4 linked regions of the Oreochromis niloticus genome follow. The protein of the gene in region 1 purifies or fractionates together with the protein of each later gene. This does not show direct contact. Links are inferred from orthologs where the notes say so. Each region holds a gene or a part of one and is shown in the gene's direction. Other genes may lie near its edges.

The links.
Region 2: the proteins of bag2 (region 1) and edrf1 purify together in Homo sapiens (affinity purification with mass spectrometry; 3 studies listed by BioGRID and IntAct, with this or other methods). This does not show direct contact. The link is inferred for Oreochromis niloticus from reciprocal best matches to the Homo sapiens genes BAG2 and EDRF1.
Region 3: the proteins of bag2 (region 1) and cep170aa purify together in Homo sapiens (affinity purification with mass spectrometry; 3 studies listed by BioGRID and IntAct, with this or other methods). This does not show direct contact. The link is inferred for Oreochromis niloticus from reciprocal best matches to the Homo sapiens genes BAG2 and CEP170.
Region 4: the proteins of bag2 (region 1) and irf2bp2b purify together in Homo sapiens (affinity purification with mass spectrometry; 3 studies listed by BioGRID and IntAct, with this or other methods). This does not show direct contact. The link is inferred for Oreochromis niloticus from reciprocal best matches to the Homo sapiens genes BAG2 and IRF2BP2.

What each region holds. Positions count from the first base shown.
Region 1 is NC_031978.2:19,992,801-20,000,367, forward strand, and holds bag2 (BAG family molecular chaperone regulator 2), read left to right. Parts: upstream 1-4,556; 5' UTR 4,557-4,922; coding exon 4,923-5,044; intron 5,045-5,350; coding exon 5,351-5,460; intron 5,461-6,723; coding exon 6,724-7,118; 3' UTR 7,119-7,511; downstream 7,512-7,567. Other genes in the region: E3 SUMO-protein ligase ZNF451, read left to right, coding at 1-826, 896-964, 2,143-2,208, 2,746-2,825. UniProt on the Homo sapiens protein: Co-chaperone for HSP70 and HSC70 chaperone proteins. Acts as a nucleotide-exchange factor (NEF) promoting the release of ADP from the HSP70 and HSC70 proteins thereby triggering client/substrate protein release.
Region 2 is NC_031978.2:13,922,894-13,930,873, forward strand, and holds the start of edrf1 (erythroid differentiation-related factor 1), read left to right. Parts: upstream 1-4,964; 5' UTR 4,965-5,070; intron 5,071-5,095; coding exon of another isoform or gene 5,096-5,159; intron 5,160-5,238; coding exon of another isoform or gene 5,239-5,368; exon of another isoform or gene 5,369-5,520; intron 5,521-6,115; exon of another isoform or gene 6,116-6,205; intron 6,206-6,484; 5' UTR 6,485-6,492; coding exon 6,493-6,600; intron 6,601-7,501; coding exon 7,502-7,710; intron 7,711-7,980. Other genes in the region: tex36 (testis-expressed protein 36), read right to left, coding at 869-1,189, 1,290-1,364, 1,490-1,630, 1,718-1,768; si:ch1073-143l10.2 (autophagy-related protein 16-1), read right to left, coding at 2,641-2,714, 3,630-3,748, 3,869-4,120, 4,491-4,564, 4,875-4,959, 5,096-5,159, 5,239-5,368. UniProt on the Homo sapiens protein: Transcription factor involved in erythroid differentiation. Involved in transcriptional activation of the globin gene.
Region 3 is NC_031978.2:11,267,203-11,275,055, reverse strand, and holds the start of cep170aa (centrosomal protein of 170 kDa), read left to right. Parts: upstream 1-4,851; 5' UTR 4,852-5,026; intron 5,027-7,853. Other genes in the region: rtkn2 (rhotekin-2), read right to left, coding at 1,227-1,328, 1,632-1,766.
Region 4 is NC_031971.2:4,315,720-4,323,555, reverse strand, and holds the start of irf2bp2b (interferon regulatory factor 2-binding protein 2-B), read left to right. Parts: upstream 1-4,828; 5' UTR 4,829-5,093; coding exon 5,094-5,859; intron 5,860-6,178; coding exon 6,179-6,921; 3' UTR 6,922-7,836. UniProt on the Homo sapiens protein: Acts as a transcriptional corepressor in a IRF2-dependent manner; this repression is not mediated by histone deacetylase activities. Represses the NFAT1-dependent transactivation of NFAT-responsive promoters.

The sequences.
Region 1 (7,567 bases):
ATCGTTGATGTCAAGCCATCCACTAGCAGTGACATCACATTTCACTCCTTGTCTGTGGCCAAAGTCCAGCTGAGCACAGAGGTGTCTTCATCAAAAGTAGAGCAGTCTTGGATGTGCAGGATGTGCGAGGATGTCTTTGACTCGGAGGTTGCCGTCCGCAAACACTGTAGCGATGTTAGTAGTCACAGCTTTCAGAGATTCGTCTGCGGACACTGTCCTCAGAAGTTCTTCAAAGAGTCCACCGTACGGAGACACTGTATGAATGAGCATGATGGGGTCATAAAAACTTCCTATTTCTGCGGCCTCTGTGACAGCATGGAGTTCGGATCTGAGGAGGAGTTTTTTGAGCACTACAAGAATCTTCACAGTAAGGACTACTACTGCATGGATGACGTTGAAGTTGTTCAACCAGATGCCGCCACTGCCGCTGAGAGTACCAGTCAGTTTACATGCCCGTGCATGGGTTCAGAAAAAAGTAAAGCAGACATGAAAGCCACTTACACACAATGCATGAGGAATCTGGCTGCGGAAGAAAAATGCCAGTACATCTGTGTGCCTTGCGATGTATCTGTTCCATCCTATGCACAGATCAAGACTCATGTCCACACAAAACACACAGCCTTGAACCTGGACAGGAGCTTTGACATCAGATGCAAAGACTGCCAAGAGAGTTTTATGGATGTACCGAGTTTCCATAAACACTACCACTCGCAACATTGTACACTGGATCCCTGCATGAGTTCCAGGACCTGCAGGAAAGGCTCGAAAGCAGAACCCACCACTCCAAGAATACCTAATGCTGTGGAGAATAAACCAGAGAGCAACGGTAAATCGGTTAAACTGATTCACATTTAATGTCTTGTGTTTGAATGTTAATTTGTATTCATGTTTGCAGAGATTGACGACGAAACGCTGACAGTTTTCAACACTGATCACACCAATGACAAGAGTGAAGTGCAGGAAGGTAGGCAGTAAACTATACATATATCACTGATATACAGATGAGGCCAGAATTATTAGTCCCCCAATGAATTTTTTTTTTAAAGTGTTGTTAAACAGAGGAAGGAATTTTAATCACAGCTTTTTCAAAAATCCTAGATTTTTATTGGTTACATTATTTTTATTTTGCACACAGGAACCAAATTATTTATACAAACTACCATAGACAAGTGATGAGTCCTCTTGATGCTAATAGGTGGTGTATCCTTTTTGCTGGATAACAGCCTGCAATAGTTGTTTGTAGTTTTCAACTAGTCTCACACACATCGCCTGAGCAATCCCAGTCCATTCCTCTTTGCTGAGTCTCTCAAATGCTTTCAGATTTGATGGTCTCCTGGCATAGACTTTGGTCTTCTGTTTAACCCACATCAAGTCAGCTCTTTGAGCAGTCCAGCCAGTAATGTTGACTTTGGTCTTCTGGAGGTAGTTCTCCACCAGGAGTGACTTATTGTTTATGTCGTCATGTTGGAAGACAAAGTAACTGCTCAGACCCAGTTTTCCTGGTTTTCTTTAAAAATCTTCTCATATCTTTTTTTCCTTCAGGATTTCTTTCACTTTGACAAAGGTGTTTTTCAAGTGATAACTCAAACTCTTTTTGAGGTTCTTATGCTTTCTTTAAATTGGAAGATAAACCCACAGTTTTAATGATTTTACAAGCTTTGAGCATTACAAAAATAAAGCACATCGTTGGACAGTGGTGGTTTTTGCTATAGCTAAATAAAAAGGCCAGTTTTCTCAGGGAGCTAATATTATTGACCCTGGTAATTTTTGTTTTTTTTCTTAAACAATTCTGTTATTGTGTGCAAATACAAATAATTTATGCTTCCTAAAGAAAACTAGTGTGTTTAGTAATCCTATGTTGAAAATCCTTAGCTCTATTGAAAAAGCACTGGGACAAATTTGAAATGGACAAAATGTTAATTTTCATAGGGGACTAATAATTTTGTTGTCACCTGTAACTAGAAAGAAAAGGCTAGATACTAAATAAATGCTACTTCGTTTTTTTTATCTCTTTTCGTCATGAGACCCTAACGGCTGTCTGTTTAAAGAGAACTCTTCCTTTAGCTCAACTGCTAATAATTATTTGCATATTTAATCCTATGAATGTCCTGCTTGGATAAACGACTCTGTATTCTGTTACAGTTGAATCGGATGACGAAATGAAACGCGCGCTGTCTTTGAGTGCAGAAGAAGCGCAAGAGTCAGCAGGTATGTGTATGCAGGGCTGAGGATATAGTCTCTTTCTCTTTTGAACAGTTTGTAAGTCAGTACAATACAACATATTGTCTGTTTTGCTGAATTTATTGTATTGAGATAAACATCCAGTACGTTATGCAATCGGTGATTGTTAACATTGCCCTGCACATTAAGGAATGAAAATGTCGACGGATAACATGCAGGCCTAAAAAAATATTTGAACAGTTGGTTTAGTGAGGTTTATTCCCAGCCTTTTGGGAGAGTTTTTTTTTGTTCTTTTATTAGATAGGAACAGACAGGAAATATGGGATGCAGTGTGATGTGCACTCACAGTCTGGCTGGCCAGGAATCAAACCGTGACTCACTGCTTGGAGGAATTTGAACACATTTAACAAATGTCGAGACAAAGAATGTGTTTGATCAAATTGATGAAAAAGAAACTTGTCTGTAGTTTTGTGTACTAAAATGATGTCAGGCTTACATTTGAGAAAGCATGAACCTGCTGCTTAAATCAGAAAGTAATGTGATGAATTACATCTGTGTAAACAGGCTCTTCAGAAATTCATAAATTACCTTCCTACTGGGGACAAACAGTAAAAGACGGTGACGTGAGCTCAAGCATAGGATGACACAACGTTCATCCGACCATCTCAATCTTCAATGCTCCATGGTTATGAAATATTTTCAGAAAGATGAAGAGAGAAGTCAGTCCTCGGAACAAAAGGCACTCAGAAAGACCATCAGATTACAAGAAAATGCTTAGAAACACCACAGAGGAGTGCTTTGAGCAGGATTACAGACACAGCTCAGTTCAAAGACTATTCGAAGTGTGGGTAGAGGGGAGTGGAAACTATCCAGCTCACAGACTGGGACAGCTAGGCTTAAATTTGCAAATAACACGCACAGAAAGTCTGCAGCTATTGAAGGTGTTATTTTCAGACAAGTCCAAATTTAGCGTTCATGCTGAAACTCCAATCAGTGTCCAGATTTTAGATTTCATCAAAACATGAAATCTAAAACAAAGCAGCTGCCTACTGAAAGAATATTTTTCCCAGGAGAAGATGTTAGAATGATGTCGGCACGGAGTGAGAGTCGATCTTTGTGGCACCTGTGAGACGTCATGAAGAGGGGGGCGGGGAGTGTGGATGACCTAAAGGCTCTGCTGGCTCAAAGACGAAGGAAACATTTTGGGGATCACTATAAATAGATTTGGAGATATGAAAGAATAGAAATGTTAAAGTTATGACATTATGGTCAACATAAAATGTTCTGTGTTGTTGAAATGATGCAGTTTGTAGTGTTTTCCATATGGCCATGCTGGTATGAATGAAGGTTTTCTCGTGTAATTTGTTTTCACAGAGTTGGAAGAAGCTCTCAAAAGAAGCCTCCTGGAGTTCTGAGAAAGTCGGTAGTGCTTTTGTAACATGCTGTTCATCGAACGTTATACTAGAATGTTTTGTACAAGGTAACGTGTTCAGAATATAATAAAGAATTAAATGTTTGTCCTGTTTGGGTTTTTTTTTACTTTTTCTGAGTTTGTCATTATTTGCAGTAAGTGGACACCAAACTGAACCGTGCAGATTTGCAATTTTGTAAGCTTGACACTTGTGAGGAGCCAGAGTGTTTCGACACGTGTGCTATAGATGGCATCCACCACACTGCAAGATGCCTGAGCTGAACATGTGACCACAGTGCTGTGTCTCCAGTTGCGCTCTGTTTTCCAGTGTATTGTATGTCACAGACTCTCTTCGCATGGTGTCATGTGAATCCTGATCTTTCTACGCAAGAATGCTAGATTATTTTTCTTAAGGAAAAAGCTTTTGTGATACCAGAAGTCTGCAATATAAATTCACATAATTTTTGTGCTCCAGAAATGTGTTAATTTGGCGCACACACTTAAGAGTACACTCGAGTAAAACTTGTATACCCAGCAATTAATGTTCCCAAGAGCCCACATGAATAATGTGGGCTCTTGGATAAAATTAACTGCTCATCCCTGCATACACTGATCTGGGTAGCCAATTCCTTTTTATGAATTAACACTGAAAATATGCATTTAGAATCATCGTGTTGTAATCAACTGCAATATATCCATGAAACTTTTCATCCCCTTGGCTGTTACAAGCCAAATATCTGATTTTGGGCAAGTCAGCTAAAGAGCAAAAGCTTTGAGATATTAGTATATTTGATGACACATACAGGTTAGCACTCCTGTTGTAGAATTGCATCTCAGGCTAACTGCAGTGCCAGAGGTGAAGCTGCCTTTGTTGGTGAGGAAAAACTCCTCATTTAATGTAAGGAATTTATGCTATAGTATACATTTTTTATATTTTATAGTACTTGAGTCATTGATAGAAATCACTGTCAGAGTTAAAAGGTTGGTGGTGGATTCAGCAAAGTCTATTAACTAATTTTGTTGGACAAAAAATAGTGACTGTTATCCTATTTTAAATCCTAGCTAGTATTTCTGTGGACCGGACGGCCGTTTCCGTGGTCCTTCAGGGGGTCCTCGGACCCTAGTTTTGAGAGCACAGTTCTGGGCTCCTCGGGAAGCTTCTATGAGGAGAGAGTGAAGGAAGTTGCAGCCCATGTTTGGAAATGTTCTCCCAGGGGCGCTGCAGCAGCAGCCGGTGGAGCTACAGTCAGCTGGACAGCTCGGAGTTGACCGCACACGGGATTTGTTTTTACTCCGGAACGGATCAGCCTTGTGACGGGTATTCATCATCATGGCTCAGGCAAAAATACAGGCGAAGATGAACGAGGCTACCTGTAGCAAGTTCAGCAGGACGCTATCCATGGCAGATCGCTCGGGGCGGCTGCTGGAAAGTTTGGACCAGCTCGAAATGAGGTAGTTAAGTAACGGGCCTTAGCATGTGCTTTATGCTGAGCCACCTATTCAAGCATTGTCGTTTGTGGGATATATATGACTACTCACATCTTCTATAATAAGTTATTATAGCGCTTAAAATGTGCCATAAAAGTAGCTTTAATTTCTTAGCGGTTTTCCGAGAACAGTTAATGATCACATTTTACGCATATGTTTTATAGGTGGATTGCTTTTAGTTCGTAGCTCACAGCCTCATAATCATTACTCTCGCAGTTTAAGGATGCTTTTCAATGGATGGTTATTGTCATGCTTTGTTGTCTCCAACAGGGTGGAGGCTTTACGCGAAGCGGCATCGGCCATGGAGCAGGAAAGGGAGTGCATCCTGGAAATGATTCAATCTCTACAGAACAGTCAAGAAATGCGTAACATCTGTGCTGGTGAGGCGGTTTGCTGACTATCACAACTTGAACGCAAAAGTCACGCGCTGGTTGATGTCACTATAAAGATATAGCCTCCTAGTATCATTTTGTTGTTTTGAATTCCTGTATTTCTGCTCTGATGCCACTGCAACATTGTGATCCAATGAGGACACGCTTTGAAAGTGAACTTTTCTGTTGGGTGGAGGTGGGTTCGTGAATGTCTGAGGATTTAAAGAGTTCCACCCAGGTAGTTGTTTGCAGCTCCTGGATGTCATTTATACATCAACCTCCATTTTAATGAAGGCACTAAACTAGGCTGAACATGCTCATTGAAAACCACCTGCAGTCTGTATCTGATTACCCATATTTCATTTTTTTTTTTTTTCAAAGAAAGCGTCCACTTGCAAAGAAATCATTACAGTGTACAGTATTAGGCAAAAGTCTTGAGCCACTCCTTATTTCTTTCTACATTGACAGTAAAGTGGAAATAAGTGCAGTGATGTAGTAAAACATGCAAAAATAAATGGAAATACAAAATTTATGTGGCAAAACAGAATTTGGGCGACTGCCTTTTGTTCTGTTCTCTGCCAAGACGATCCCACCCTGCTCAGTAATGTTGTGCTTTGGGCTCTGGGGAGTCCAGTCCATTACAGATAGTGTTCCACTATGTGTTTCCTCTGTCTAGCTTTTAATCCATTAGCAATGTGTTTGGGATCATTGTCATGCTGAAAAATGAAGCCAATCAGATGCTTTCCAGATGGTACTGCATGGTGGATCAAAATCTGACGGTAGTTTTCTGTGTTCATAATTCATCAATTTTGACAAGATCCCTAACACCGCTGATACTTACTGCTGTATCTCTTTCGCAACCTCCTCCATACATACTGATGACAGTTTGAGGCAGAAAATTCAAATTCAGCAGACTTGATTTTCTGATACTATTTATCTGCTGTAGATTGTTTTTACACCAGCTGCTTTGTCTCTCAGAGAATTTTTTAGAAAGGTTTTGCAACAAGATGGCCTTGCAGATCTGAAGTGTAGATGTGCAAGCCCACCCTGTTGTTTTACACTGCATAAAATAACTGTGTCCCTGGCTTGTGGTAGATTGAGCACAGTCATGAACATGGAAACTTCAGATAATAAAGACAAGGGCAAGGATTTGAATTTAGATAAATCTAGCCAACATGCTACCCCTTACAAAACCTAGTTACCTGTGGTAATCTTTTCACTTAAAGAGAAAGTATTTATTTATTTTTTTTCCCCATATGTTGTGTCTCTTAGGAGAGAGAGAGGAGTTAACTTTAACTGCAAACCGTTTAATGGGCCGGACGCTGTCTGTGGAAATCTCTGTTGGGACAATCAGAAACCCGCAGCAGGAGGAGGCGCTACAAAAAGCCACATCCATCATAGATGAAATAGTGAAAAAGTTGCTGGACGACATGGAGGGGAGCAGGCAGAAGCTGCTGGCCCTGCACGCCGCATGTGTGACTGAAGCACCGGCCGTTCCCATCAACCAGAAGTTTCAGGCCATTGTGATCGGTTGCGCTCTGGAGGACCAGAAGAACATAAAGCGGAGGCTGGAGACTCTATTGAGAAATGTTGAAAATGCTGAAAAGAACATCAAGATTATGGATCATCAAAAACTGGAGAACACCAAAGCAAACGGTAGTCAATAAGACTCATCACCAAAGCATTAAATGTGCCTTGAATGTTCTCTTTCAGAAGGCTGCTACTTGTAGCAAGAAAAGTGAACAACAAATATCCAGTTTTACCAAATCATTGTCATTTTTACATTGATCTACTTAATATTGGTTACTTAATGTTTATACAATGTACGTGTGTGTTCACATATGCACCTAGTGCAGTAAAAGATGCTGAACAGCAATGAATTAAGTCTCTTTTTGTTTCATTGCCTCACTTTTAAAATTAGGTAGTTGATTTTGTAAGTGCACGCACTACCTCTTTATGTGAAATCAACACAAGATATATGGATTTTAGTTTGTATTTGCACATATGAGTTTTATTTCAGATCACGTGTCAAAAAACTAAATAAACCTGTTGTCTTATGAGTGTCGGGCAGAGACTTCTTTAAATATACAGTACTCCTCAGCAGTCAAGCTCCCAG
Region 2 (7,980 bases), about 6.1 Mb from region 1:
GGTGAAACAAGCCCATGCATTATGACTCAAATCAAGCTTAATTTATTTCGCATGCTCTAATTGAATATCTCCATGTTGATATGTATTGAATAAAAATAGCTGGATCATTTTTCTAATTATTCCCGCCCCTCCCACATTTTGTCTCACGGAACATGCATATTACACAGGGTTTTGTGGCTATTACATTTTTCATACAACTTGGTACTTGAACAACTCACTGGCTAGGCAGGCCAAATGGCTCATGTAGACCTGCTGCCCTCTGCTGGCAAAACTGTGAACCTCCAACAGTCCTCATGTGGACTAATAGTGGCACTCAAATCAGGCCTGTGCACACTGATGTTCTGATGCATCCATAGCTACGTTAACTCAGCTTATGCTAACTTGAGTTCAAATAACATTGTGCTACATTGCTATATTGCGTTTGTGAAATGTTTGTAGCAACTTTAGCATATTTAATGGAGTCGACATTATCTGATAGCGCATTCTTCTGCCTGAGGCTGACTGAACTCTCAACAGTTGAGATGCAAAAAGTACCTGCCGTTGATTCTGATGATTTTATCACCAGCCTTACACTGTTAGAAATACAGAGATAAAATCACTTAAGTACTAGCAAAAGTATTGAAGTAGTTTTCGCAGGTTCTAAACTTTGAAAGTAATCACTTTGCATAGTTTCTATGCAATAAATGTTATTTAAACTATGTTAATGCTTTTTTCAATCTTGGAACATTTGATATTGAGGATGCTGTGGGATAAATCTTGGTAAAGTTCACAATTTTTAATGGATTACAGCTCATATGCAAGTGAAGGAAGCTCTGTGCATGCTATGGCCCCCTAATGATGCCATCTGGGCATTAGATGTAAGAATATCTTAAGGCTTGGATGGTGTTGAGCAGTTGGTAGCTGCCAGCACTTGCAGGGTGTCAGACTGGTCAGAATCGTCTCGTCCGAACCACATAAACTGCTCCCCCGCCTGTGCCAAAGCTGCCTCTGCAGACTTCTGCCTGTGGTTGTGAGGGAAGCGCCGGTTTCTGGATGCAGAGTCAACAACCTCTTTCACTATGAAGTCACTCTGGTAGGCTGTGACGTTCCCTCGAGTCTCTTTGGTGCCATTGTCAGTTCCACCATGGCACAGGCAGAAACGGGAGATGTGCTGTCTGCGATCATCAAGACACCTTCTCCTTCCCACACTCTGAAGTACATCAACATAGAATAGAAACGGTCTCCTTTAAAGGTATAATGTGGTGAATCTTGTGTTCAGCAAAGCCTTGAACCTTTCCCTACATACTTACATGAGAGAATACAATGACGTCGTCTTTCAAGGCATGCTTGTTGTCATGGTCTGAGAAGGGATACTCTCTGGATTTCTGCAAGTTAACCCATAAAACACATACTGGGACAGCAACTAAATACACAACTGATAGCAAGTCCAAGAAAAACTATCAAGGCCACTGGCAGTGACTAAAAGGCCATGCCTTATCTACATACACACCTGCTGACTTTTCCATTTAGGATAGCGTTGAAAGTTTAAAGCCTGAGGCAATGATGACTTCACTTGAGTCAGCATGATCCCAGTGCTTGTACAGTTCTCTTGAGTCTTTGTCTCATTTTCTGATAAACCTGAATGAGCAAACTGGGAACAAAATGAAGGAAAACTTAATTACACATCTAGGTTTAGAATGCTATGATTTAATTATCCAATGAAATGAAGACTTCTTACCCATTTGCAATCAGTGCTCACTGAAAAATGCCGCTTTCCGCCTTTTACCATTTTCCCACTACAGCTTGAGGTGTTTAGACCACAATCAGTAAAACCAAACAAGCACTCCACACACTGTGCAACTTAACTACTAATGCCAACACTGGTGACCATGGAAACAGGCAGCAAACAAACTGCAATCAGATCCTAGAGATCGGAACTGAATTCTGATGATTAAAACAAAACAAAAAAACAACCCCAAACATTTTGAAATATTTCAGATTTGTGATTAAACAGAATGAGAAATAGCCCACAATGAAATTCTTAGTATTTAATATTTAATCAATTAAGGAATACAACATGCAATGTTTAAAATGATAGTCTTTGTTCAGGAGAGGGGATTAAAAAAAAAAAAAAAAAGGCATAAAAGTCTCTTTATTTTCTTTTACAGGTGATAAAGAAGACAGTAACACATAATTACATACAAGAGTGTACAGTAAACTAACACTGAGCTTGATTTTTCAAAATTATTAAATGTTTAATTTGTTGAACAGTAATTAAAATGTTAAAAAAAAAAACCCTCAAACAACTGAAAACCAGATGAAGTTGTTTCAAAGGTTAATTTATTAAAAGAAAAAGAATCATAGAACCAGAAGGGTTTGAAGCGTTGATCATGAAGACGACGTCCACATGTGATCAGCTAAACTTCAGGGTGACTTGTGATGTAAAATTAGGCACTAACTATACGTCACAAACAAATTTGCATAGTATAGTGGATCTTTAAATATATTTTTAGATAAATAATAAAAAATAAAATAGATCCATGTGAGCAATTTGTCCTAACGAAAGAAAAACAAACTACATTTTCATTATTTATGTCATCATTTCATCTATAAGCACTGGGGAGAAGAAAAAAAAGTTCTCCCTGGGATCTGAAGGGAATATTAGGCCTGTGGTGGACCCGAGACATGACACTGGTCTGGGAGTCCACTGTGCATATCTGTTGGAATATTGATCCCTGAGGACAAGATAGGCAGACACAAAACAATTACCATTGATTCTTTTGACCAAACATTGAATTAAAGGTCTTGAGCTGTAGATTAAAGTGGCTGGAAACTGTAAAAAAAAACATGACTTTGATGTATTCACTATTATTGCAACATTCATACATTTTAGAATTCATTTTAAAATCTTGGTACTGACTTTTAAAGCTTTGAATTGTGATGCCCCTGCCTACATTTCTGATCTGTTAGAACTTCACGCTCCCTCTCGCAGCCTGAGATCATCTAATCAAAGGCTGTTGGTAGTCCCACGAACACGTTTTAAGACCAGAGGAGAGAGATCTTTTAGAGCGGTGGCCTCCAGGTTGTGGAATGCTCTCCCTCCATCATTACGTTGCCTTGATTGTATTTATTCTTTTAAAAAGCAGCTTAAGACTCATTTATTTAGACTGGCTTTTAATTAGATTTGTGCTGAATGTTTGATTGTGCTATTTTTTTACGTATATCTGTATATTTTTATGTATATCTGTGTTGAATTGAATTGAAAAAAAATTCTTGCTTAAAAATAGCATTATATCAAAGTGGTTGCACATGAATTTCCTATTAAATTCTTAATTACTATTAGGTTTTATTAGTAGTTGGGTCCAAGAGTTCCTATTCAGTACTTCATGTACAGTAACTCTTATGAAGTTGCCACTGCTATCTAGTTAGATGGTTAAAAACAAACAGACAAACCAAAGAATATAATTTTGCACTATTCTCTTATTTTTCCATTAGCCTTTTGTGTATCATATTACCAGCTCACCACTAAGACACACCTTTCTTTAACCTACGACATAAAGCTTCTTAATTTAAAAAGCAAAAAGGGCGGCCTAAAAGTCAGCCATTTGTTTGCATCTAATGTGTGTTAATATCTATATGCAGATTCTTACTCTGAATGGCTGATGTAGACTGTGCTGCATCACTGGAAGAGTTGGTCAGTGTGGGCTCACGCTCTTTCCCCACACCTTTCTGGAGGCGCTTCTTCAGATGTTTGGTCAAATGTTGCCACCTGGTAAAAGGGAGCAGTCCCAGATAACTTTTCAGCTTTAAAGTGTGATTATGCTATCATATAAAGTTAACACGTTTAAATTTTTGAGCTTTGCAAGTCACACAGAACTCATTATCTCACCTTGCCTGAGTGACATTGTAATTATTCAGCCTGTCCGCTTCCTCTTTTTTTTCCTCCATCCATCGCTGCAATAGCCGTTCTTTCTCTCCCAGTGCATCTGCAAGAGCTTCCTTTAGGCATTGCCGATCCACACGCAGGGCTGCTAACTCTTTGGATTGACACTCTATGGTGAACTCATATTCTGAAAGGGCTTCCTTCAGGGTGTTACTCCCTTTAGCCAGAGTAAGTGCCTCTTGATGGAACTGAGACACACTGTAACAGCAAAGTATTATAATGGTGACGAACTGATCCCTTATATTCTGAATACAAAATCCCAACAATCGACCTAATCGACCTCCCAACCTAAGCTGGAAAATTATACTTCTTTATTTCAGTGGTTCAGTATTCCTATGAATATAAAATAAGTTTATTATATGACCAAATTAACTATTTACTAGGATTAATCGGCAACATATTGAGCAATTATGGGGAAACTTAATTTGAAAATTACCTTTACTAGATCTGAAATATACCATGAATTAACACTTACCTCAATCTGGTCCATCATGTGTTGCTTTTACATTGTCTGTGCGTTATTTTAATCTTGGAATCATAGTCGTACTGACCAAGGTATTTGAATTACCGTGATTGCCAGTACTGTAGTTCAGCTTCTTTGAGATGGAGGACGGTGGTTAGGTCGGAGACAGTTTGAGATAACTGGGTAGACAAAACAAAGGGTGGAGTGACCCAGTTCAAAAGCAGACAACAGCACACACCCATTAAAGATGATTATTAAAGTATTTTCTCCACTCCTCTGAACCAGTTGCAATAATGAATGTTTATTTATTTATTCATTTTTTAAAATAAAGTTCAAATGCTTTGAAAGTTGTTTCAGATTGTCAGATGTGGTGTTCGTGCATATCAATGCAAATATGCTGCTCTGCATTTTACGTAGACGTCTTCCCTGTAGTGGAGGTTTTGAGCCTCTGGGGCGTTTAATCATTGGATTACTCCTCATTTAACCCACCTTATCTACCAGGTGCTCACTCTCTCTCAGCTGGAGTCGAAGCAGTGTGGCGTTTCCCCCAACCTCAACTCCATGTCTTTCTAAACTGAAAAAAAAACCAAAAAAAAAACAAGCGTGCAGATTTAAAATACTTTACAAAAAAAAAAAAAAAAATCAAGCAGAGGACAAACCGATCAGCACAAGCGCCAGATGTAGGGTAAGTTAAATTCTGCATTTCTAACCTCTGAGACTGAACATCAGCCAAAATCTCTTCGCGAAGTTCAAAGCGTTCCTCCAGCTGAGACACTAAAAGAAAACAGACAAACGTCCTTAGGTTCTGATAGAGAGGACAACATCAAGAGAGGCAGAGAAAAGTTAATCTTACAGCTTGTGAAAACGCCAACAAACGGGAGCTTTTCTCTGTGGTCCCTATGCTGCAGCCCTTGGCGCACGTGATTCTTCCAACTTTCCATTATAATGGACACTTTAAGGAAAAACCTCTCACGTTTGCGCATCCAGAATAGACTATACTAAAGCAGCGGGAATACAGCGTCTTCAGCCCTCACATGAAGTCTGTGCCATCCACGCAGGAATTAAATGCACTCAGCAAAGTTTCACAGCTCCTCCCTGTTCACTGATCAGCGTGACATTCCTGGCTAGACATTCTTACAAGGATCCATATTGTATTATATTATATTATATGATATTATATTATATTATATTATGGACAGGAGAAACATTAGTACTCGAATATAATTACTTAAATGCTTAACTTGTCCCTCCACTGCTAATATTTTCATGACTTATCATCTCATAATTTATACAAAAATATCCCTGCACCTAAATGTTTTTGTTTGTGATACTTTTTTTTTTTTTTTTAAAAGTATCACAACTTTTTACGGGTTTTTAACAGCTGAACAGAATTGCACTGCAATTGTTTGCATACCTCACACTGAATCAAATTGTTTAAAAATAGAAAAATCACACCACATGCAAAGCTCACGTTAAATTAAAAACAGTGGTGTAAACAGTCAATTTCAGAATAAAAGGTATCAGAAGAACGTGCTCCACTTTTCCAGAAAGAACTTATGAAAATACTTCCGGTTCATCTATTTTTCACAATAAATCGTTTCAGATAAAATATTTTTCCTTGACTAAAACAAATATCCAAAGTTATAGCCTTCAAATGTAAATGTAAATATTTTAATATTATTGAAAAGTTTTATTCTTCGAAACTACTGATAAAATTAGTTTTGTAACTCTTTTTGCCTTGAAACAGGAAGTTGTTGTTGGCTTATTGCTAGCACTTGCGACTGCTCTGTCAATAGACTGGCTGCAGGCTACAGGCTTGTGTAAGTAGTCACGGAGCTAAGAGCTAAACATTAGTCGTTTACAAAGCAATGAAAACTGTTCGCCTTCGTGTCGTTTAGGTTTAATTAGTCTAGTGAAACTTTCATTTTACAGCTTTACGTGTCAGCGTTTCTTTATCGAGGAGCTAGCTTGTCTAGCTAACTAACTTTGCCAACATGTTGACTTACCTCATTCGTTGACTGATGTATAGACGGTCCACGGCTTGTCGAAGCCATGGATATGTTATTTGTTTATTAAATCGGAGTTGTTTGGTGAATTAGATCTTCGTATGTCCAGTATGAGCGCATCAACTGGAGACGGAGAGCCTTGCATCCCCTTGGATAATGCAAAGGAAGAAGTCAGTGGTCCTACCTGCACTGGAGACAACAGTAAACATGTAAGTAACTAGTCTGCAAGGATAATCTACCATCTAGTATGTTGTCATGTGTAACACTCATTAATTAGTATTTGAAGTGCTAATGTTGAGTTAGGCCACAGTGGATTTATAGTGCCATCTGTAAACATGCTATAGCTTTAGTGAGAGTGGGAAGCAGGTGAAGGAGAGCCTGATGAGGTGGTGGAATGCTCTGGAGAGAAGAATGAAGGTCAAGAGAAGCAAGCCATAATACGTGTGAGTTAATAAGAGCGAGACAGGTGACAGGGGAGCGAGACAGTGTAGATGAAAGGAGTAGAATTAGTGAAGGTAAAGGATTTCATATGCCTGGGGTCATCATCATCAAGTAACGGACAGTACACAAGAGCATTGAAGAAGCGAGTGCATACAGGGTGGAGAGGGTGGAGAGGAGTTCCAGGTGTGATTAGTGACAAAAGGACATCAAAAAGGCCTACAAACCTTCTGTGATATATGGTTTGGAGACTGCGGCACTGACAAAAAGGGCATTTGGGTATTTGCAGGAGAGGGATAGTGGATTCACTGGACAAAAGATGTTAAATATGGAGCTGGAGGGGAAAAAGGAAGACAACTGATGAGATCTGTGGATGCAGTGAAGAAGGAAATGCAGAGAGTTGGTTTGACAGAGCATGATGGTACAGATGGGTTGAAAGGAGGCAGATGATCAACTGTGGTGATCCCAAAAGGGTGCAGCTGACAGAAGAACATCAGTGTGCATAGTATACTCATGATAATCAACTGCCAGACATATCCTTATTTAAAAAGATAAGGCTTGGAGCCAAGATCTTTATCATACATTTCAGTAAAAACGAAATTGTTACTCTGTCAGTGCTGTCCATTCATTCTCATAACTTCACACTAATAAGCTTGATATTGTTATTTGTAGGAATCAGCAATATGCTCAGGCAGCAGTGAAATCAAAAGCCGTGCTGTGGTCAAGTACTGTGCAGCCCCACCACCTACCAGCTATGCCCTTCTGCAGGAAAAGACCGACTTGAAGCTACCTCCTGCCAACTGGCTGAGAGAAAACCCCCAGCTGGGCACCGCTGGGACCACTATATTAGGATCTAGCAGCAAGAGCAAGCCCTTTTCCAGGTATAACTTAGAAAAGGGGGCACGTATTCCGTTTTTATGGGAAAGATTGAATTTGAATTGATGTCAAGCTCATGATTGAGGTACATAGGCACCACTTTTATCATTACACCAAGAATAATATCTTTTGTTTAAATGTAATTTGCGACCCATGAAGACTGATACTCTATCCACAATAAACAAGGTGTGGAATAGAGTATTGCATAGTTGCAAAACTATGGTTCAAACTCACAGTGGAGGACTTTTCACTACATAATTCAAAGTACTAAAACC
Region 3 (7,853 bases), about 8.7 Mb from region 1:
GTGATGTTCTTTGGAACAAGCAGCCTGCTGACCTGAGGACAATTGCAACTATGTCTACATTCAAAAACAAAACTTAAAACCTTTATTCTCATAGGCTTACATTTAACAGTGTGCGCACATCTGTTTGTGTGTATGATAACTTGTATTTTGTTTCTTTGAAAAGTTTTATTTTATTGTTTTTATTACCTTAAGACACAGCAGACCTACATTTTTTTCATGTTTTTACCTTAAATGGTATTTTTAAAGAAAAGCAGCTGTTAAACAAAATCCACGGTCACTCTGGCACCAACAGAACTAACATTTTCTGGGTTTAATACAAAAGATCTTAAACAGCATGGCTGTTGGGAAATCTTCTTGCCCAAGGGTGTCCAAACTCACTTCACCTCATGGGACACACACACATCTGATCACAAGTGGGCCATACCAGTCATTATTTCATGGTATTTTCTAATTAATTTTTACTTATTGATTTATTTATTTTTTTGTTATTATTTAATGCTATGTCCAGATGAACAGAATCAACCTTTTGGGTGTTATTCTTTTAGCTTACTTTCAGTTAGCTTTATTTTTCCAGTTTAGTGTTGATTGTTTATTTAGTTTTAGTCTTTTTATTTATTTATTGTTTTAATGAGGGCATATGTCAGATGAAAAATCTAGGGAAAATTTGCTCACGTATTACAATAAAAACTGATTCAGACCTCAAATAATTAATCAACATTTAGAAGTACTTTTAACTTTTCATACATTTACATTCCTTTGTAGGAATGCTGGAATCTCAATATTAAGCATTTTTAGTGAAAAACTGACTTCCCTACAATTTTTGGACCCTTTGGTGGACTTGCAATCATTTGACACCCCCGCTCTAGCTCCACTAGTAACTACATCACAGTTAAGATGATACACTGGTGATGTTTCAAATTACTTGTTAAGCTTGAAATCACAAACTCAAGACCAACCTTTCGGTGACGTAATGATGCATGCATGAAGGGGTTAGATGGCAATGCCAGCTGAATGAGATTAATAAGATGTCTCGGGTAGCAGTTTTAATGGCAAAGATGGAGCATGGAAATGTACGAATGGCATTTCGAAAAGCACAAAACAAGTGAAAACTGGCAGGCATGCAGCAGACATATTCTAACTAAATGAAGTTTGATGATGTCTGTTATAATCACATCTAATATAACACAAACGTCATCATTCTCCATATCACAATCAACAATATGCACCTGTAGCTTCTTAGAAATCTGTCGTATGTACAACAAATTCATATCCTCTACTATCTGGGGAGTGTCTTTCAGAAGACTAGGGCACGGCTGCATGCTCTTTGCCTGCAGGGAGATTAGTTGGAGCAGTATTAGAAGGAAGCAAACATACAATGATGATGCAGCGTACACGGATATGGTTTCAGGGAAGTGAATATTGACAAAAGGGGCACTGCCCCGAACTAGCTTTGCCCTGGAGGGTTGAAATCCAGCTTGAGAAGGGCGTTAGCAAGTCAAGTCGCAGTACATGAAACTATGTTATTAAAGCCATGTGAATTAAAAAGATCAGCATTCGCATGTTTGACGTGCACTTTGCACCCACTCCATTGGGTAAATCATACAAAACAATCACTGTCGTACCGCCCATACCTCTGTTTGTAGGAATAAAGTACTCTGTCGTATTTTCTTTCGTTTAATCTCCATATCCACCGCGGAGCCGGCCAAAAACAATGACCTGGAGCCCCCATTTTTCTTGGAAGTTTGAACATCCCGCGGATCGTCCATGTTGTATGTCCATTCGCTAACAGCAGCTGCACCAGCAGCGTATTCCTGCTCCTGCTTCCAACGGCCGGGGGCGGTTCGATTTCTATTATCTTACCTCCCGAAAAAGAAATGTCCCGTCGTGTCAACATAAAGTAAACCCATTACAAAAGCTTAAAAGTGTATTGTTCTCTCAGCACATTTAATATCATATCAAATAAATAAAAATTAGGGTATAAAATGTAACCAAGCTACGACTTAATAAAATGTTGTAGTCACCATGTCACGCTAGATCAAACCTTAAAATTAAAACAAAATTAAACTCTAACTTACAAATGTCCTATGGAATCGAAATCATTAAATAACAAGAATTAAATAAAGAAAAAGAATACTTTAACAATAATACATAAAAGGGTACAGTTCAAATATAAACATGAAAAAACGTCCCGCTTTTCCCGGCGGCACTGCCATACATAAAAACGAGTGCCTTTACGTCAACAGGGAGGGGGCGTCATTGCGTCAGTGTGTCAGACAAAACAGGGCTGAACCGTTTTCGAGTTTGAATTTTCAGACAGTATAAAATCATAGACAGTATCAGATAACATATATTTTATTACATATGTTATTATTGTATTTTATATTTAATTCATCTGAAAATGTATTTTAAATATTATAATATAATACATACAAACATGCAATTAACTAACAGGCTGTAATGCTAATTTAAAAGTATAATTCTCACGTTTATGCAATGAGCATTTCCATTTTGAGCTCCCATTTTTAAAGCAAAACAAATATGAATCTTTTATATGTTACTGCCATTTGATCAACCTCTGCAATTTCATATTTTTTAAAAGCGGTGGATGTTTTTCTTGTAGTGCCACATCCCTAATTAGTTTGATAATCTCGAGTAGTAATTGGTTCCTGAATATCATGCAGCAGATACAGCCTTCATTATCAGCATGACCTCTGCACAGTCCAGGTGGTGGTACTGTAACAAAAGACCCCGGAACGTAACCAGTGTGAGTCCAGGAAACCCGCCCACCCGGTTCTGGCTGACATCGCTTCTGGTTGAGTTGGAAGCATCCACGGTTGCAGTTGTGGACGCAGGCGCTGCTGAGGATGAACTCCGTCAAGCTGGGGAGAGAAATTCCACTAACACAGGAAATTACATCAGCTTTTAAAAATAAAACGCAGGATTTTGAATTTTAGACGAGGTTGACATGCAGTATAATCCTCTGAGTCACTCAGTACACAGTGATGTCAGCTACTTTACCATCTGTAGAGTACTGTTAGAGTGACTGCCCTACAATAATCCATATCTGTCCATATTTAATACACTGTAACGTTTTATTTCACACTCCTTGAATCAGGAACTAGTCTACAATTGCACCAGCAGCAGACCTATCTATAAGTGGAAAAAGAGTTTTGTAAACATACAGGCATGTGCCTGAAATCCATTCATTCCTAACAGGATGCAAGAGCTTGGAATTTTATTGGGGAAGTGCTATAGTGGGTTTATGGCTTTAAAATGACTTGTCATGTCTTTCTTACTTATATTTTTAAGTAATTTAATCTATGATATCAGTCTTTATCTCTATAATGCTTTTAGTAGCATTGGGTCTAGGGTACAGTAATTCCATAAATATGGTATTACTGTAGATACAAGTTTCTTTTTTTCTTTTTTTTAACTTTCCCCATATAATAAATTATTCAAAATACTAAGGGTTATTACATGCAAATTTTGTCAAAGAATGGTTTCACATATCCCAAAATATAAAAGGATCCATGGGGACACAATGCACACAATCTTGGCTTTATAAGTTAGAACATGATATTGAACTTTTTAGTTGAAACTCATAACAGAAAGACTTTGGTTGAACCTCTGGTTTAACTCAGGTGATCATGAGATTATAGTTGTGCGCATTGTTCTGAATATTACGTTTATTTCAGTATCAAATACACAAATAAATAAATAAGTAATTTAAAAGCTTTCTGGGGAGACAGCGTTTAAACTGTGAACGTCACACACCTTGCAGTTGGGGGGCAACCTTCTACTCATTTTTTCATATGTGTTGTGTCAAGCTGCTTTGAGAGCTCAATGAGGAAGACCTGTCAAGCACAGATAATACCATTTTTGAATTCAGGGTGCTGAGCTGTGAAAAAGGTGTAGGTATTCAGGGTGGCAATGTGAAGTTGTAACACAGCACCATGGGCCATCTCTATGTTTTACACTTGCAGGTGTAGGTGCCAACCATCTTGTACATAGTATCTACACCTCCTTTGGTCTTGTTATAGAATTTGATTAATTAGTGTTTTTTTCCATTTCTGGTATTTTCATCCCCCATTTTGTTGTGATACATCGAGTACAACAGCCATTTCTTTCTTGATGACATAGCTGACTATGGTATCACAAACGTATCACATGTATCACAAACCCAGAAGATCTTCAGGCCATACTTGACGGGCTTGTTTGGCAGTGACACAATCACTCGGGATGAATTGCCGTCTGAATGTTGAATAAATGCTGTCTTTTAATCCTAATTTCTCTAATAAGAAGGATGTTTCATGAACTTTCTCATTTACCATTTTTTAATTACCATACATTCTGTACATTCTTAGAACTGTTTCAACCTATTCTTTTTGCAAACTAAAAACATCAAAATCACATCACATCACATCACAAAAAACAAAACAGAAAAATTGCTATCTACTATGGAAGCTCGTTTCCACCACTAAAAAACCCCAACATTATTTGCCATCCATATATCAAAATTTCAGGTTTTTATCTAAAAAAAAGTCAGAGAAAATAACTCCAAAATGACATAAATCAAAAATAACGTAAAATTTCCAGTTAATTTTGAGAAATAAAATATCCTGAAATGAAGACTTATGAATATCAATTTAAACCCCCCCCCCCCAAAAAACCTAACTCAACTTCCTTTTAGCGGAAGCAAATTTCCATACTGTGACAGCGGTATGATTAAAACTTAAAACACCACTGAAATTATGATCGACGCCTCAACTCGGAAATCTGAGTATCCTGTTGTCTCTTTGACTTTTATTTTGAAACTTCTGACCGGAGGCAGTGATTGGTCTATTTGTCACTTTGACGCCTCTTTCAGGATGTTGGTCCGCTCGCCGCTGTTTTGCAGGGAGTCAGTAGCTTATTGCTGAGCAACGGAGGGAGAGAAGGCCCCCGCATAGAGCCAGACTGAACTGCAGCAACGACAGGGCTGGGCTCCACACGCAGTCACAGAGCAACAAACATCTTTAAGGAAAGGGTAAGTGTGGAGTGTACTTGATTTTTTTTCTTAGCGAACAGTATACAATTGACAGCCCGTAGTATGGTTTTAGCTAGGTGGTTGACCGTTACTCACGTGAAGTTTGCTGCAGACAAAAAAATATAAAGAGTCGCTTTTGCTTTCCTTCTGCACATCCACTGATGTCAGTTTCCTCTTTCAGTGAGCTCATAGAAAATTCCCCCAAATTTTCAAACCATTAAATCTGTATTAAATCTGAGTAAAATTTAGGAAACAAAAAACACTCCGGCTCTTGTAACGACTAAACAGATTGGTCTGACTCCCTCTTGGCTAACGGGATGGCTACTATTGTCAGCAGCGGCATGACAAGCATACCCTGCTCCACCTTTGTAAGCCGCACAGACTATAGCCACTTTGCTGCCCTTGTAAAAACACCGGCCGCATACTGCTTCACTCCAGATCAATACTATTGTTTACTACTGACCTGATTTTGTCCAGTAGTTGCATCCTTTTGTAGCCAGACAGAGGCTAATCGAGACAAGATGCACATCAATGAAGGTCGGTCACACTGAACGCTTTGTTTATCTTAGTGGAAACATGCTACCCCCGGGGTCTTCTTTTAGTCTGTATTGTCTAAGAGGTAGATTTTATGGGGAGGTTTTACTCTAAGTAAGGCAACTGCCGAGTGTTTTCCGATAACGGACCCCCCTCCTCTTCTTCTGTGTGGAGGCTTTGTTTTCGTGGGGCAGATGTAGCTGGCCTGCATGCATCCGCTCTCTTTGTGTTGAGTTTGATTTTTTTTTAGCTGTCATCATCACATTAGCTGTAAAACTTTTGAAAATAGCAGCAAATGCTTTAGTTTAAATGCCATATGGTAATTTGATAACTCTCCCACAGGCTGTTCATAAGCAATTGGTACTTCATGCTAGAAATCAATGCAAAAATATTGTAATTACGGTTTAATTACTGTTACCAATTTAGCACAAATGCTAGAGGAAGATGCATATCAATCGAAGCCTCACAGCTGTTCAAAACATTTAAAATTAATATTTATATTCACAGCATTAGAAACTGTTATATTTTATTTATTTAGCTATATTATGCTCTTAAATTTCATCCTGTAGACTCAAAGGTGCTGGTGAAAGTCACTTGCAGCTCTGGTCTGAGTTTATAACCCGATTAGATGTTCTTTGAGAGCTACGTGTTTCACATCAGTGTGTCTTGCTAGTCTCCTCCCTCAGCTGTAAGAATTCAAATTTCTTGGGTTCGAGCCAAAAGAATGTGCAGATAATACCATCCAATCCAGTTTTGCTCCTTTTCCCTTTTCTCCCCTTTTTCCGCCTTCTTCCTGTGTTCTCCCCACAAATGTGGCTGCCAGCAGGGTTGTTGGCTCCACTGGCGGTTGCATTTTTAAAAACTGTGTCAGTGTCACAGGACGTTTGCTGCACTCTCGGAGAGGAAGCAGCAAACTGACTGAAGCTAAACTACAGCCAAGCCTGACTACAGACGTGTCTATTACACTTAAAACATAGCTTTTTTGAGTTTTATTTTTCTTTAGAAAAAAAATCTAGAAGCTTCTTGCAGTAATTCGACTATCAGTGCTGTTTGATCAACTCACATTTAATGTGCAGTGATGTAAATTACCATACTCATTGAAATCCTGCTTTTTCACCCTGATATTCTTTCTCAGCATCTTAACTCAATCTGCTGTTCAAAGAGTAATTTGTATGCATATAGTATATCCTTCAGTAATATTTTCAATTCTAGTTTCAAGTTGGGGACATTTTTGGAGACTCTTACTCAGCCTGCCCACAGCCATTGTGTATAGTAGGAAGTTTAGGAAGTGAGTTCATTTTACTTCAGTGGCCCGGGAGTGTTATGTGTGACAGAAAACAAGCCAGTCTTGAACTTAGTATCTGATTGTATTCAGTTGTATTTAAGATGTTGTTAAAAGTTTTGTAATTGGGAGCCTGTAGCTAAAAATAGAAGTGAATCTCAGTTTTGTAATCTGCCAGAGTAGAAACGTTAAAAGGGTTATGAGAGTCACATAGCCTTGCCTGGTAACGCTCATGCTGGCGTGTGGTGTCAGAGGGAAAAACAAGAGAGGTGAATAGCGAAGTCTGTGGTTAGAAATTGGGAGAGACAGCACAGTATACCAGACAAAATTCCCCAAAACAAGCATGGAGCATTTTATATATACAATCATCAGCCGCTCCCTTGTTATGGAACATAAAGGGTGTGTCTGATTTAAAAAAAAAAAAAAAAAAAAAAAAAAATGCCATTTAACCTCTCACAGAAAGAGAAATTGCACATCTGTTTTGGGGTGTAACATACTCCCCTCTGAGTTTCCTTCATTTGATACTTCTTTCCACTAGATATCAATCTTATATTTGAACATGTTCTATTCTCATCTTTCCCTCTGCCAACTCCTGATTGTCCTGTTATGCTAACGTTTATGTTTTTTCCCTTCTAAGTGCAAGAGTGAGAGAGTTCACTATTTTTATCTGCTACTGAAGCTATTGCTACAGCCAGGATAAATGTTGGCACCATAATCAAAGTGGCAGGGTTGGCCAAATACTAATGTTCCTGTTAAAGGGCCATTGGTTAGTCATTATCTGCTCAGCAGGGGCTATGCAGGGCCATTAGAGCAGTCATCAGACCAAAGGTATATTTGAAATGACTGCAATATGTTTTCTATGTAAATGGAGTTTGTATGTTGTGCTCTCTTGATGCTAAAATAGGTATAACTATCTACATGAATAATTAGTTAGTTAAAAGTTTCAGGTTTTTGTAATTTAATATTCATTTCTGGAAGTTTAATAGGTAATTCATGTTATTTTTTTCATTT
Region 4 (7,836 bases), on another chromosome or scaffold:
GAAGGATCACATGCAGAGGTTACCCTTGCCTTTGATCTGTAGAGAGTCAAAGGTCACTGGGAAAAGGGCTTTCGAGTAAACTGAGACACAATTAGCTATGATGTAATCCTGATTAGGACACTCAAGCGCTATACATCAAATAGATAAAAACAAAAAACAGGACTTCACTAACTCCCACCAAACCCTCATAGAGCAGCTGTCTTCCTTTAATACTCTATCTGCCTCATTTGAGTTTCTGGAATAGCCTACATCTGGGGATATCAAACCATGTGAAAAACTACATGACACAATAAATAAATATTTAAATATATACAAATATACATATATACAACATTCTATGAACAGCACACATACTTTAATCACTTACACATATAACAACACACCATGACAAAACTCTATTAACCATGTCACAGAGGCTCTTAAAGAGATTACTGAGCTACTGCAGCCATCTACCACAACCAGCTGGGAATAAAGGGAGGAACACGGGACAAAAGGCAAACTGGGCATTTGACTGGTCAGTTAACTGGAGTTTTCCACTTCACGTCAGTTCATCTGTAATTAGCTCAGACCCAGAAAAAGTGAATGCACTTCTAGATTATTTATAATTTTTTGCATAGTTTGAACTTGCACAATAAACAACAATAAACTACACATTTAAAATAACAGTTGAGTGGTAAGGAGGTTATACTATGAGACAGAGCAGGAATTTATATATTTACATCAGTGTTAAAAAACAAAACAAAGACAATCAAAATGAAGTTAGTTAAAAACAGTAAAAGTAAGACTGACGTTGTGTAGGCGAGAAGTGCAGATTGCATTAATGAAAATCTTTTGCCTGACAGGTGTGTAAACCTGTCACAGAATGAAGTTATTCTACAGCTTTATAGAGAATGGTAGGAAAGGCTTTCTAAAGTGTTCTTTATGGCAGCGAGGTTGAATCACTCTGCTGCCTCAGAGGTATGGAGTGGAGTGGGTGTGATGGGCTGTCCCTGATGGAGAGGGTAGGTTCAGTGACCTCCTGCCCCTCACTGACTCAAACATCTCCAAATTCTGACCAATGATGCTTCCAGCCTGCAGATTAGTTTGTTCATCCTGCTGGCATCTCTGGCACTGATGCTGCCCCCCAGCAGACAGCAGCAAACTAGATGGTACTCACTACCACAGAAGAAGATCTCCAACATCTTGCTGCACACATTAAAGCATATGAGCTTCATTAGAAAGTACAGTAATTCTTGATATGTTTAAAAAATGTTCTCTCAAGTTTGGGTAATGAGAGTAGGAATAATCATTCCTACATGCCTGAGTCTACTGTCTACCATGTATAGTCCAGTTTGGAAATCCTTCCCAGATGCCTTAACGCCCACTCACGTCTTGGGCCATTTGTTCTCAGTAAGTCACATGACATGGGTGGGCAAGGTCTCACAGTGGGTTCACCTGAAACCTTGGCTGATTGTGACCCACACCCGTTTTCACACCTTGGCTCGTGTGATTAGCCAGAGGATCAATAGGGGGTCCACGACCCTCTTTGGGACATTCCCAATAGGGCTTACGAGGTAGGGACTCTACACCAGTTGCTCTTAGAACTAAAGAAGCTTCCTGGACGAGAGGTGAAACATCTTCAAGAAAGTTAAAGAAGTCCAGAGACTAAACCTTAATCTGACCTCCCCCTAACCTTGACAAATGTAACTACATGTTGTGTTGTCATAGTCCTCTCATCCATTTCTGGCCTCTCAGCAGGTTTTTAATTAACTGGAAGGAAACAGAGAGATAAACTCCACCAACAGTTAGTGTTTTGGCAGAAAACTGCAGTGCAACAAAGAAACACCACATACAAGTAGAAATGCTTCCAATGGTGTCGGCCACTTGCGTAGGCTCTATGGATTCAACACTGAAGTTAAAGTCTCAAGTGAGACCTCGGAGTGTTAATGAGCACATTCATTTATTTCTTTGTATAGGTTTCCCATCATTCAGATCATGGCAGTCTTAAGCACTTGAGTTGAAAGCAACTGGACTTCTACTTGTTTTTTAGGTTCTTAAGGATGTTTCCCCTACTCCTCCAAAATCTTTGATGAAGTAGCCTTTTGGTTGAGAGGTTACACTTCATGTAACCTTACTGGATTTCAGATCTGCCATTGTCTTCCTCTCCCACTGAAGATTTGACTAAATGCAGCTCATGTTTGACTGTCGTGCAGAATGCAAAGAGTTCTCTGCTCCTACATATTTGCCTACAGCGGCCAGTGTTACACTGGCAAAACAGGATACATTGTTCTGCCTTTTCCCTCTTACTTTCTTTCCCTCATTGCCTCCATCACTGACTGAGTAAGTGAGACACGTCATGATGTCTGTAAGCCTGACTGGAGAGATGATGATTGTAGGGTCTCTACCTTACAATGTAGAGGCGACTATAGTTGTGATTTGCCACTAGATACATAAACTGAATTGAGTGAGTCTTGGCCAACAATTCTTGCTTTTGGGACCAAGGTCACCTCTTTAATCATAATTTAATGCACAGAACTTCTAGGCTCAGCCAAGTAGGGGCTGACTCTGGTGGCTTATCTCTGCTAAATCTCTGCATTTTGCAGATGATATGGTTCCTTTGGACTCCTCAGGCTGTGATCTTCAGCTCATACTGGGATAGTTTGCAGTCAAATAGAGCTAAAATGGAAAAAGAATAGGCTGGTGGATGACCAGTCAATCGTTTATGTTCCTATGTTGTATCAGTCTGTGTTTCTACCCTGAACTATGGCCATGAGCTGTGGATGGTGTCCAGGACATGCTGGAGGGATTACATCTCTTGGCTGATTTGTGGTGTCCACCCAGTAGATCTGGAGATGATGACCAGGAAGAGTGAAATCTGGGTGTCACTGTAGAAAATAGATGGATAAATGGACATCTATATGATGTCTCACAGGTGTTTTCATCACCAGTTTTCTACACTGTACTTAATTCTAATCAATTATGCTGATTATCCTGTGCCTTTGGGCTTTACCTGCATTTTATAAACTTGAAAATAGATGCTAATTTTAATGCAACTGGATATATTATCACTTTAAGTTTAATGCCTTTCTATTACTACAGTTTTTTAAAATACTTTCCATTTCTATCATATTTTACTTCAAAAAGTAGGTTTTCGTTGAATTACTGCCAGTTGAGTCATTGCTTTCTATTGCTATAACTTGTGTGTGAGGAGAAACTAGAGAGCAGTGGAAGTGATTTCATACCAGTGAGAGGAAAATGATCAGCTCAGCTCAGCAGAAGACTGAATAGAGGGGAGGGAGGTTTACAGTTTGCCTGGTAACAGCAGCTTAATTCTGGGATTGGCTTCTACAGTGGTGATGTCAGATGTGCCTGGCAACGAGACTGGAATGCAACAGAGGGATTTAACACCCACTCAGCGTCACACCGAACTCCTAAACAGAACTGCTTTAACACTGGTTGCCTTGACACTGCAGAGTTGATTATTTAAATCGGAAGATTATTTTTTCACTGTCTACATCTTTGGTATTTAGAAAAACACTTGGAGCCCTGCAAACAAAGATGAGAGCTGAGAGAAAAGAGGTCTCACTCTGCCTCTAATTCCACGCATCCCTTTTGAAACCCAGTATAATATGTCGTGAAGCAGGTCGGCGCCGGTGTCTTTAAAAGCTGCATTTGGATCCACATACAGCCTTGTTTATTATGTTATTGTCTTTTTACATGTGTACACTCATTACACTGAGTTTAAATTACACACACACAGAGGACTGTATTTAACTAGTTGCTGCCATTTTAATATTGTTGTTTATATTTTTCAAGGTTCTACTGATGTATCTCTAATGTTTTGCTATTTTACCACTAATACAGAAAGAGTTAAATTTGCATATTAGTACAACAGAACATGAAGATGGCTTCATCTTTCAGCTCTGAACAGTCCTGCTTTGTAAACACTCAGTGAGGCCTGAGAGGTGTGTTACAAAGGAAGTTCAATACAGCCGGGGTTTCTTTGTGTTAACTGGTTTAACAAAATCTCTCAAGTCACATGGCTCAACGAACACCTTTCAGAAAAACATCCTTTGAATGCAGCTCACTCCATCGAAGACATTATCAGATGATGATAAAGTAGTGATTAAAGTCTTTAAAGAACATTAAAAATGAACAGCAAAAAGAATCAGTGTTGCAATTAAGATAAGAAATTGGTCTGTTTTCCTTCTCTCACCGCAACCAGTCGCAGCAGATGGCCCCGCCCCTCCCTGAGCCTGGTTCTGTTGGAGGTTTCTTCCTGTTAAAAGGGAGTTTTTCCTTCCCACTGTCGCCAAAGTGCTTGTTCATAGGGGGTCATATGATTGTTGGGTTTTCCTCTGTATGTATTATTGTAGGGTCTACCTTACAATATAAAGCGCCTTCAGGCGACTGTTACTGTGATAAACAATATTGAATTGAATTGAAATTAATGACAGAGAAAATCTTTATTCTAGAGATGTAGCGCACAGAGCGATAAAATAAAGCTTTTTCCACTAATTTCACTTGATCATTTTGTGTCTCAGTGCACTCTCAGTGCTGCAGTTTGCTTCTAAGATGATGGCAGCACATTAGCGCTGTGAAACTTTAAATTGCATCCATTTAAACATAAAAGCTTACAGTCCCACAGCCTGGAGATGTGGAAATTACTTCAGTTTGACACAGATCAAAGTGAAATGATTTCTCTAGATTGAATAGCTGTTCAATTTAGACAAATCGCTGCCGTGTTTTATTACGGTCCCAATAAAACACAGAGTGGTCCCTCTTCGCGGGCATACACATCTTCAAGAGTAAACGCTCCGGACAAAGATAGAAAAATGGTGAGCATGCGCGTCGTCGAAGAATCCAGTAAATAGAACCCCGGAGCACGAGCCGAGTGTCGTTGCTGACGTCACGGCCGTACGTTGAGAGCTGGAGCTGAGTTGTAAGCGCGAGCTCAGACGGAGGCGCGCCGAGGGAACAGCTACAGCTATGGTGCTCTGTTCTTCTTCGTGAGGACGAAATCAGCCACTTTTATTCTCGTTGACGTATTTTTCCGTCTTCTCTGCGACGTAAACAAGCTGTCGGACATTTTGAAATCGCTTCGGGGATACAATATGTCCTCCACGGCGGTCGCTGCCTCCAGAAGGCAGTCCTGTTATTTATGCGACTTGCCCCGCATGCCGTGGGCGATGATCTGGGATTTTACCGAACCCGTCTGCCGTGGATGTGTGAACTACGAAGGTGCCGACCGGATTGAATTCGTTATCGAGACTGCCAGGCAGCTAAAGAGAGCACACGGCTTTCAGGACGGCCGCTCTCCGGGCCCGGGGAAACCCCAGCACGCCGGGAAAGAGATCAATCACTCGGTTGGAGACCCGGGCTCCCGTCCCCCTCAACCTCTGGATCGTTATCCGCTGTCAGACAGGCCGCCGCGGCTGGGCCCGGAGTACCAGGCGGGCAGGCAGTCGAACGGCCTCCCGATGCCCAACGGATTTCCCAAACCCGACGAGCCCCCTGAGCTAAACCGCCAAAGCCCCAACCCCCGCAGGACTAGCACGGTTCCTCCCAGCTTGGTGCCTTTGGTAAACGGCGGGATACCTGCCATACATCCGCTCAGCGGCCGCCCGACACAGATCGGTCTGACCGGCGCTCTGATCGCGCCTGTCCCCGGGGAGCACGGCAAGCGCCCGGAGGAGCTGAAAGACAAGCACCGGGCGGACAGCATGTCGGACATGTCGGACAGCCACAAGGACTGGATAAACAAAGGCAAAACTGTCAGGGACCTGATGCTGCACACGTTCGACGGCAGGGTAAAGAAGGACCACACCGCCATGCAGCGGGTCATGGCGTACGAAATGAGTGGCACTTCCTCAAAAACAGGTAGGCTGTTTGTTTTGTGTCTGCACTAGAATGTGGTGAGCTGGCACGCGCCATGAAAACGGGAACTAAACAGCAGGGAACTAATGTGTCAGCACTTTGCACACACGGTGTGTCGTGCATTTACGCCATCGTGAAGGGTCCGCCCAGCCACGCTGCTGGCACGCACCCGTTCACCTCTGTGTGAGAGAGCAGTACGGGAGCAGGTGTGTGTGTGGTTGTTGGGGGGGGGGTAGAAATGAGCTGCCTCGTATTCTGCACAGGCCGGGATGTTTGTGTGTACCTAGCGTGGCGTTAACCCTGCTGCTTTTCCTTTGCACAGACAGGGGGAAGCACCCTCGGCCTGGGAAGAGGAAGGCCTCCCCTGAGCCAGATGGTGAGAGCAGTGCCCCCAAGATGAATGGCAGTGAGGGCCAGCCATGGCTCCCCTCACCCTCTGAAGTCCTGAAGATGCCCCCAGCTGCCCTACCAGGCTTCTCTGCGGCGCCTCCATCAACCATCTCCCCCCACTCCCGCACCACACCGCCTGAGGCTGCCACAGCGCAGAATGGCCAGTCCCCCATGACTGCACTCATCCTCGCCACTGACAACGCAGGCAGCACCGGCTCACCTAAGGACGGCAGCCAGGTACATTCCACCGTGGCGGGGGCACGACGGAACAGCGGGAGCCCCCTCTCACCCTCACAGAGGAGGCTGGCCCAGAGAGAGGGGCCCGTGAGCGCCAACCCCTCCGCTCCGCATGGTCCCGGCAGTATGGAGCCACCGCCGCAGAGCATTCCGGATTCCTCTGTGCCACCGAGCAGCATGCCGCTGTGTTGCACTCTGTGCCATGAGCGGCTAGAGGACACTCATTTTGTCCAGTGCCCTTCAGTGCCCTCTCACAAGTTCTGTTTCCCCTGCTCCCGGGAGAGCATCAAGCAGCAGGGGGCCACCGGCGAGGTGTACTGTCCCAGTGGTGAAAGGTGCCCGCTGGTTGGCTCCAATGTACCCTGGGCCTTCATGCAGGGGGAAATAACCACCATATTGGCCGGAGATATAAAGGTAAAAAAGGAGCGGGACCCTTAAAAAGTTCTCAGACTGCTTCTCGTGAACTTTTTTCCCTCTTGTAACCCAAGTATGGCAACAACAGCAGGACATAAAGTAACAGACGCAGCTCACCCAGCAAACCTCAGAGGAGCTGGCAGACATGTACATAGTGAACGCAGGGGAGTGTATACTTCATAAATGTGGCAGTAAAATTTGACTTTTTTCTTTAATACATTGTTTCTTACTGTGTTTCCAGTAAGACTTTTCCTTTTTCCCACCACAGCTGTTTCTTCTCAGTCTGTCGTTGTACTTTAGGTCTGCAGACAGTCCCTGTCGAGCATAGAATGTGACTAATTTGAGCACTTGGCAAAATCCTTTAATAAATGAAACAAAAAATGCTTCTAGCTGTACATGTATGCACTTGTTTAAGAAAAAAACTTGCCAAATACAGTTTCAGACCTTGTAATAATACCCCCAGTGTCTCTGTGGTTTGCTTATTTTCCATAATCCTGGAGTTGGTCGGAGAGTCATGGCCTGATTGTGAATCAGTCATGATGCAATCCCTCCCAGCAGGAACAAACTGGCTTCCAGGGAACAGTGGGTGGAAGGGGAAAAGTCAGGGAGCGAGGGAGATGGAAGAGGGGGGATGAAGGCCGCAGTAGAAGTGCGTTGCATAAATGTACTGTAAATCGCACGTGGGCGAGCCGAGGCTGCTCGGCGCTGAGGCCTCGTGCCCTGTGAGTGCGGGGGGAGATAAGGAGGGCCTAAAAATAGTCACTGTGGCTTCAAAGTGACGCCTGCTCAGGCGTTTGTTGATGTCAAAACAACTGCCTCATATGTCCTGTTTGGGCACTTTGTTTGGATCTAGAGGTTTTCTCTTTGCTTCTCCCTCATCGACCCAAATCAGCCTGACATCTCGTCAGATGCTGGCAGCAGATCAGAGCTGTTGCTGAC